Linked DNA regions of Oryzias latipes. The protein of the gene in region 1 interacts with the protein of each later gene in a biochemical or structural test. Links are inferred from orthologs where the notes say so. Each region holds a gene or a part of one and is shown in the gene's direction. Other genes may lie near its edges.

Region 1 (4,529 bases):
TGTTATGTAGTACATTGCATATTTCAACTCACTTTAGAGTTAACATTTTAAACGTGCAGTTTATTCTTTCTAATATCAAGTCTTAGAATCCATAATTGGTCAAGAGAAGGTATTACAACCTTTTGCTTATTTTTGATCTAATGACACATTTCTGGTTATTGTTTGAAGATTGTTAATCTTACCAACACAAGCATTCCTCCTTGTAATTATGACCATTTTGTCCTAATAGATGTTGGAAAATGTTTCCATCTTCTTTCCAGGATGTACATTTTCAGTTAAATAAATTACAAATATGGTTAATCATTTGGAAACATTCAGATTCACTTCATCAGATGCCATATTAAAAGTAAAAATAATGTTCATCTCATTGCCATTTGAATTTTCTATGGATATTTTAAATCACATATATGTATGCAAACTGTACATAAAAACCCTCAGATTTTATTCATTTCATTATTTCAATATTGCATAATATTAAATGTCTCAGCCTTGCTTAAATAGAATGTTGTCTTAATTTAAAAGTGTATTTTCAGACTGTTAAATAAAAATACAATAAATATGTGATCAACATATTTAATGTGGGTTTATGTTTTTGCTTGTGTTCAGGAAATGAGACACTGATATAATCAAAGTTTGTGATCATTTTATCAATTTTATTATTTAAAGTACTGTTGAATTTAGAGTTCAATCTTAGTAAGCTAAAATGTACTCTTACAGTCAGAGAAATTATTGTGTCCATGTGCTTATAGACTGTGAGACAAAGAAGCTTGCATCCATACATATTACTACTGTTTTTTACTTTGACACATATACCTCATAATAGATCTCAATCCAATTAAACAGTGAAATAAAACATAACCAAAAAAAACAATTGTTTTTTTTTTATAGAAATAGCATAATCCCAATTAAAAGTCCACTTTTAGAATAGATCAAAATGTGATTGAAGTGGGACTTTAAAATCAGAATTGGAAGTACTTCTTGGCAACATAGTTTACCTGATATTTTGCCTCTGAAGGAAGGATTTATTATTGATAAACTCTGGAGGCAAGCTTGTAATAGGTAAAAAAAGCAATACTTTCATTGGGCATGTGACCCAAAGTAAAGATGCTTAAAATAAATAAAACTATAAATTGCAAGTCAAGAACCCAACGGTTTGTTTTACTTTTTTTCATCATTTTGATTTTAAGAAGTGTTAGCAAATACATAGATTTACATCATTTAATCTGTGTCTCTTAGAAGTTCTTTTACCAAGTAGAAACAACATATAGACTAGAATCAAATGAGGTGAGAATACATGACACTAGTATAAAGAATCATCTGAATGTTATTTGCAAACTGTTTCTTGTGAGCAAAAAATTTAGACAATTAAATGTAAGAAGAATTTGATTTTCTTTCTCTGTTCTTGAACGATGTAATGAAATGACGTCTTGGCAAAGACATGCAATATCTATTGTCTATCGACAGGGGGCAGTAAAGGCTAACCGTTAACCTGGTCAAAACAGGCCCAAGTCAGAAAAATGAAAAAGAAAATAAATTACTTCTTTAAAAGTTGACAGAAGAACAAAACTGTTAATTTTGCATTCACACATCACTTAACCTGAAATTTAGTTTTCCGTGATCAAGGCTGCTCTTCCAGGTAAACCACGTCATGAAGACAGTTGTCAGACTTAGTGCGCAGGTGACCCGCGTGAGGCACCGACTCAAGGACTTGTTTTTTTCTTTAATCCAAACTGCCGCTCCGCGCTGATTGATTGGCACTCACCTGTGGTGACGTATGAGCGCCTGCAATCTTATGAGGAAGTGAGTCTGTGAAGGAGCGCAGCGCAGGAGAAGACCTGCAGCTGCTGCTGCTGCCGCCGCCGCACCGCCCCGGTGATCTGAAGCAGAACCGCCGAACCGGGCCGATTAGAATTCCCAAGGAACGAGCGCCTGCTGTTTGACAGTGATCTCATTTTGGTAAGATTTTTCAATTTTAGTGATTAAATCTGTGCGTCAGCTCACTTTTCTGGACGGGTCGGGAGTGCGCAGCAGGCATTTTTCGCCCACTTACAACTTACAATAAAGTAAGCTCGGGTCAGGTCAGATCAAGCAAACTTGTTTATTTGCTGTGAGATTAGTGTGGCAGAAAAGGTGCCCTAGAAGCTCAATTTACGCAGCTCAACTGGAGTGTTACAGTAAGTCTAAAAAATACCTGTTATGTGGTTTACCTGGTTTTGTGCCGCTGCGTAAACACCACTGGAGCAATTGTTGGCTTTATATCTTGTCATTTCTTTTTGGCTGGAGCATGTCTCAGCAGTTTAATGAGGATAATTGCTGGATAGAGCTGAATTGTGAGTCATGGGTTAAATCTCTTGACAGCAGTTTGTTGACTAACACAACATGCTGCTCCATTCCATTGCAGCCTAAATGCTTGAGACCAGAGAACAGAGTTTTGCAGCCCTTGTGAGGGTCACTGGAGGTCTTCTGGGGTCTAATTATAAATGTTTCCTATGTTTCATGTCATTAGTTGAAGGTGCAGTTTCATAAATGTGTTTTCTGTCTGCACTCTGATCTTATTATGCATGTGACAGATGTTCTTCTCCCCTCCTCCTCAGTTTCCTTGGCGCTGAGGAGCCCGGGAGAAACAGTGAGCATTACAAGAAGAGGAAATTATGTCCCAAAGTGAGTCAAACAACGGCAACCAGGCCCCTGCGCTTTTGGAGAGTCAACTTGCCACTGAGCTTCATATAAGTGAGCCAGGGGATGAATGCTTCCAAGCAGAAGCTTCTCCTACCCCCTCAGGTGAACCCGCCACCCTTGAGGAGGATCGGGATGACAGGATCATGGAGCCTCATGAAGTGGTTTTAAGCACAGAAAGCCGTGCAGTACAGAAGATGGGCACTCACCAGCTCATCCCTAAAACATTAGCCAGCCGTCCTAAAAACCGGTACCACACCACTGTGGTGACGTTCCCAGTGAGACTGGAGAAGTCAAGCGGGGACTCCAGTGGCGAGAGCCACAGCCGTCATTCAGCCCAGGTGCCTGATGTGCCGTGGGAGGATTATGACAGTGATGGAGACGGCTTTGATTTAAGGAGGAACCGCAGAAACCGGTCATACAGAGCTGCAGTGACGAGCCTGGACGTTGAAGCCATGATGAGCGCAGAACGAGCGCCTGTCAGCACCCTGAAATCTGTTAATGAGGTCAGAGCAAGCAGTCCCGGTCCATCGCACACCGTCGGACGAAAGTTTACTACGGTATGCCATTTTCCTCTTTTTTTCAAAATTTTCTGAGTTTAGACGTTTGCTCATGTGGGAAAAGCAGACCATTATAATTGGAAGTGCTTATTTTTGAAGTTATTAAAGCCTTTCTGCAAAAAAAAAAAAAAATCACATTATCATTAATTCTGATGCAGCCACCAGACAAGCTGAGTCATAAAAAATAAAAATAAGTTTTGGTCATCTCATTGATCACAGCGGTGACGCTTGAATTTCTTCAGAAGTTGCAGGCATGATGGGATGTTTCCACAACTGCTTCCTGTCTTCAAGACTAGTATTGAGGAAGTTCTCAGATAATTCTTTACAAAAACTATTACTAAAAAGGCACAGTCACTAAAAAAATAGAACTAAGGGAATGAAGAAACTCCTCAAGATGGATTCTAGCCCTGTTGTTGTTTCCTTTCTAGCGAACCCTTGGAAGAAAGAAGGACCATCGGGGATCATTTAAAGATGGTGCGTTCATGCATGTCTCACTTTTCTGCCTTAATCAATTTCTTTACAGTTCTACAGATTGCTGGAAAATAACTATTGCTAAATTTTAGTAGAAATGTTGGTCTCCATGCAGACTATTCATGAGCGCCACAATTTTTGTCCAACATCTTGGTGTGAAAAAAGTGGAGGGCTGCTCTGAACACTACCAGCATTAGAAATGACCTCTGGGCCAGCAGATGAGAAAACATACAAAATCTTCAAATAATGTTCACTTTCCTGTAATGATTATTGATCAATATTACCTGTTCAGAATAACCTCTTCTAAACAGGTAATATTTGGATTTGAACAGTTTCTTTAACCTTATCCAGACAAGAACTCGATAACTTCTAAACTGCTTTTTTGTTTGTTTTTTAGGAAAAATAAAGTATCCCATTTTACTATCTTATTTTTAGTCTAGAATAATTGTGCTCTAAATAATTATATAGTTTCCTTTAAATGTATTAAGATCCTTATTTTGTTGTGTAAACAATACAATTTAGTATAACTGTAAAATAATTTAGAATTACTTTTATACCAGTCGTTCTATGATATAGGTAAGTTGAACCCAAGATTAAACACTTTTATGCATGTATAGATGTAAAGCTTAAGTAATTTGGTAGTCTTGGTCCTCAGCCACACCGTGCCTCTACCAAGAGATGCGTGAGCGCGGCCTGCACTCCACCAACCAGGACGAGCTGCTGGACGACTTTGTGGTGGTGGAGACTCCAGTGGAGGACCAGGGCATTGTGGTGAAGAATTACAAGCCAGCACAGCTGACCTGGAGCCAGCTGCCACAGGTT
Region 2 (4,391 bases), on another chromosome or scaffold:
CAAAGATAAAGTGGTTTTGAACACAACAAGGCTTGACGTCTTAGATCTCACCACCTTAGATGACACCTTTAAGATCAACTGCATCCAAAAATTCCTTACTAACCCAGATTCCTTGTGGAATTTTATTCCAAACTATTTCTTTTCTAAACTCGGTGGCCTCCCTGTTCTCCTCCAGTCTAATTATAACATTCAAAAGTTTCCCATTAAATTAGCACATTTTCTGAAGCAAATGCTTCTGGCCTGGTCTCTAATCTATAAACATGCCTTTTCTCCTCACAGCTTTCATTTCTGGAATAACACTAATATTTTATACAAAAATACATCTTTATTCTTCCCTTACTGGTTTAAAAAATAATAAACAATATGTAAATCAACTATTTGACTCAAGAGGGTGTTTAATATCCTACAATCAATTTTTAACTGCTCATAATATTCCAGTTACCTCCAAAGAATTAGCAAGAGTCATGGATGCTATTCCTGAAGGACTTAAAATGTTATTTAAAGGTCTTGTACACCCATGTATTACCCTCACGTTAAGTTTCTTTGTTTGAAACCAATTTTTGTAATTCCTGCTTTACTACGAGACCTTCAACAAATAAAAAAATAAGATCCCGGTTTCAGAAGGATATTACAACTGCACCACATGTGACCCACTATTGGAGAAAATTTGCCTCAGACATTGAGTGGAAGAAAGTTTGGACTTTGTCCTCCAAATATTTTATTTCAAATAAACCTTTGGGACTTTTGCTTTAATCTTCTTCACAGATGCTGCAGCCAAATCCTAACTACACATAGACATTGATAGAAGCGGCTCCTTTTGTAAATTAGACGCTGAAACAATCATACATCTATTCTGGAAATGCCCCCAAACAGCAGCTTTTTGGAAAGACTTCACCTCCTTTATACGATGTTAAATGTATAAAAAATGTGATCTGGTATACAAAGATATTTTGTTTGGTTAAAAATTCACTAGAAAAGGAAAACTACTTAATTAATATTTTAATAATTCTAGTCAAATGTCATATTTATAAGTGAAAATTTTCTACAAAAGGTCCTTATTCAAGCTTTTTATGATTGGGTTAAACCAATAATTATAAAATCTTCTTAACACCAAAGTTGGAAGAACTTGTGATATTTTTTTAAATGTACAGAATAGCAACTTACTGCTTTTACTACTCTTGTTTATACAAAAATACAAAAAATGTTTTTTTTGTTTTTTTGTTGTTCTTTTTTTTGCCTTTATGTTCCCCTGGCCTATTTTGTTTTTGTTACTTATTTTTCTATCGGTGTATTTTAAAGTTGACTCATTTGTGTTATGATCCTGTATATTTTCAATAAAGTTTATTGAAAAAATAAATAAATAAAAATAAACACAATAGAAAAGAATGGACAGACTAATAAATAAATAAATAAAAATTGGAAATTCAAAAGCGCGACGGTCAGCCCATCAAACCCCGCCCGTCTTGGCAGCCCCAAGTAAAAGAAACGAACAACCCCGGCAGCTCGTGGTGGGAGTGACCTCATCACGGAGGCCGTTAGTTTTCGTGTCGAGGCCTGCGAGAAACTCACGCAGGGAGCTTTCAAGAAAAGTTGTCCCGCGGAGGAAAACCGGCTTTTTTTTTTGATTCTTCGTCCGCATTTGCTGCTTCATCCTTTGCTTTTGGTGAACAACAGACTGACGATGTCGTTCGTCCCGGGACAACCTGTGACCGCTGTTGTGGTGAGAAGACGGACTGATTCATTGAACGCCTCTCTATTGTTTGGGACTTTCGCTAAAGTGGATACCGATGCGTACATTAAGCTAATGTCATGTCACGTAGAACCGTTTTAGTCATCTAAATATGACCTTCTAGTAGAATTGGACCAAGAAATCTGGTGTTTATGTTTCAATAATTAGTCACTTTTAAATTACGTGGCGCACAGTAAAACTAATATTTAATGGATTCTTATTTTATATATAAAAAGTAAGTTACCAAAGTAACTAAATAAGTTTAAATATGAAGTCGGATTGATTTTCTTTAGAAAGGGCGTTAACCTGGACGGAATGTGAATCAGTGTTCCCGGTCCGCAAATGCCTCATGGGGGATTCTAAAAGTTTGTTTTGTTTGTTTTGTGAAAAATACATTTTCCCAAAACGCATCAAAAACAGGAAAATTCGCGGAAGCGGGAACTGAGCCGAAGTTTCATCTGTGCGTAGGATTTATTTTTATTTTTATTTATTGTAAATCACGTCCCAGCTGTCATGAAGGGGTGGAGAGGCGAATGTCCTGGATGTACGTGAACGTTTCACGACACGGTGGATTTTACGGGGACAGATTTCAAAATATGGAAAACTTTATTGTCCACTTAGTTTGTAAAATAAGACGACCTTTTAGTCTAAGTATCAAATTCAGAGTTTACAATCTTGTGAAGAAACAAAAGTAATAATAAAGAACAAAGAAAAACGTTTTATCAAGGATTTAAAAATATAAATTCACCACTGGGTAAAATGACATCATCAGGGCCGTGATGAAGATTTTACTAGAAAAGAGCAGCAAAAAAACCCTTTTTTTCTTTTCTTTTATCTTTAGCAGAAATCTATTAATTCTAATACGAAAAAAAACAGGGCAGATTTTATTACAATGCAAAAAGGGCGAGTGTCTGTTCATCATCATCTTCAGTCTGTTTCTGACCAAATATGGAATATTATTTAATAAAATAAAATAAAAATCTATTTATTGTTTTACTAGACGGACAAAAAGTTTCAGGTATTCAGATGAAAAATGGTGGAAGATCCTTGAAACTCAGTGGATTTTATTGAAAAATATAATCACAATTTTAATTAAAAACCAAAACGAAGTTTTAATCAAGGATTCATATATTTCTGATTTTGAAAGTGTGTTGAAGAAAAATAAAATAAAGTTTCTTGAATTCTAATTTTGTTGAATACTCAGTTTAGAATATTTTTTAACCTTTATTTGTTTCATTAATATTTTTAAAGATAGAGGCTTTTTAGTGACATATGTTGATGTTTTTGTTTTCTGAATCTGGAAACAGATCTTTTTTTTTTTTTTTTCTTTAACTTTTGGCTCTAAATGTCAGTCATTCACCCAAATGGAGATGAATGAGTTTCCAACTATTCCCGGTTTCCTTTAAACAGGAAAGAATCGAGATCCAGAAGTTGTCTCAAGGACCAAACCTGGTTCTTGGCTTCTGCATCGGAGGAGGAATCGACCAGGATCCGGGACAGAACCCGTTTTCTGATGACAAAGCAGATAAAGTAAGAAAAGTGGATCTACAGGAAAAGGGACCTTTTCCGACTTCTGTTGCTGTAGAATGAAAAGAATCCTTGATAGCAGATTCAGGCGTGATGTGAAAAAGTTGATGTAATTCCTGAGGAGTTTCCAGAGGAATGTTTCTGTGGCGAGCCGTCGATGACAGACGGGCCTCGGCTCGTCGCCGCGCTCATGTTGTAACTCAGAGGTGGGCACTGAGGGTCGCATGTTTCCCAACACACCCTGCTCTGGCGTGTTCTGATTGGCTGGACACACCTGAACCAGGTAATCAGCCATGAGTAGAGCAAGACTGTCTGGAAATCATGCAGACACACCGGCCCTCGAGGCCTGGAATTGTTGTAACTGATCAAACTCTCAGGCTGCCTGCACAGGTAATCCCAAATATTTCAACACTCCTTAATTCTAATATAATCCCACTATGACCTCACTGGTTTAAAAAATGTAATGATGTTATCGTCTTACAGGCAAAACTTTAGAAAAAGTACAGTTTAGTCCCTAATGATGGTCTTATTTATGGCAGGTGCTCTTATTTTGGAAGAAAACGTCACTTTAGGTGTTAAAGTAACTTTTGGACAGTTACAAGTTTTTTTTGTTTCTCCAAAAATTTGATCGTCACTTTAGTCCAGTGTTCTCAAACCTTTTTTGAGCCACGGCACACTAACCTTTACAAAAATCTCCTTCTCCGGTGGGGCCCTGCGTTGGGTTCTCCCGGCGCGGCGGGGGGGCTGCTCTCCTGGTTGGGCTGGGGCGGCGCTCTCTTTCCCTCCGTGCCTCCCTGCTCTCTGGCTCTGGGGGCCTTGCGGCGGCCCTGCTGGCCCTGGCCTGGGTGGCGGGCTTGGTCGCCCGGGCGGCGGTTGTTCCCTGCCGGTTCCCGTGTGGCGTTGGGGGGATTCCGGCTGCCGCTGCTGCTGCGGTGGGGGTATTGGGGTGGGGATGGCTGGGCACTCTCCCTCCTTCTTTTCACGTTCCACCATCCATTTTAGAAGAACATAAACACTCACCTGAGCACTGGTGTTAGCTCACCTTTGCACTAACAGTTTGCATGATTGAATGACTGAAATATTTAACACTAGTTGGTTTTAAGGCATAAGTATGCGTGTGTGAACACTATCTGTT

Evidence for each region.
Region 2: the proteins of rho guanine nucleotide exchange factor 16 (region 1) and tax1bp3 form a complex in vitro, tested with the Homo sapiens proteins (2 studies listed by BioGRID and IntAct, with this or other methods). The link is inferred for Oryzias latipes from reciprocal best matches to the Homo sapiens genes ARHGEF16 and TAX1BP3.

The regions. Positions count from the first base shown.
Region 1 is NC_019865.2:7,811,908-7,816,436, reverse strand, and holds the start of rho guanine nucleotide exchange factor 16, read left to right. Parts: upstream 1-1,541; 5' UTR 1,542-1,956; intron 1,957-2,594; 5' UTR 2,595-2,651; coding exon 2,652-3,236; intron 3,237-3,664; coding exon 3,665-3,710; intron 3,711-4,362; coding exon 4,363-4,526; intron 4,527-4,529. UniProt on the Homo sapiens protein: Guanyl-nucleotide exchange factor of the RHOG GTPase stimulating the exchange of RHOG-associated GDP for GTP. May play a role in chemotactic cell migration by mediating the activation of RAC1 by EPHA2.
Region 2 is NC_019862.2:30,694,333-30,698,723, forward strand, and holds the start of tax1bp3 (tax1-binding protein 3), read left to right. Parts: upstream 1-1,519; 5' UTR 1,520-1,681; coding exon 1,682-1,720; intron 1,721-3,139; coding exon 3,140-3,259; intron 3,260-4,391. UniProt on the Homo sapiens protein: May regulate a number of protein-protein interactions by competing for PDZ domain binding sites. Binds CTNNB1 and may thereby act as an inhibitor of the Wnt signaling pathway. Competes with LIN7A for KCNJ4 binding, and thereby promotes KCNJ4 internalization.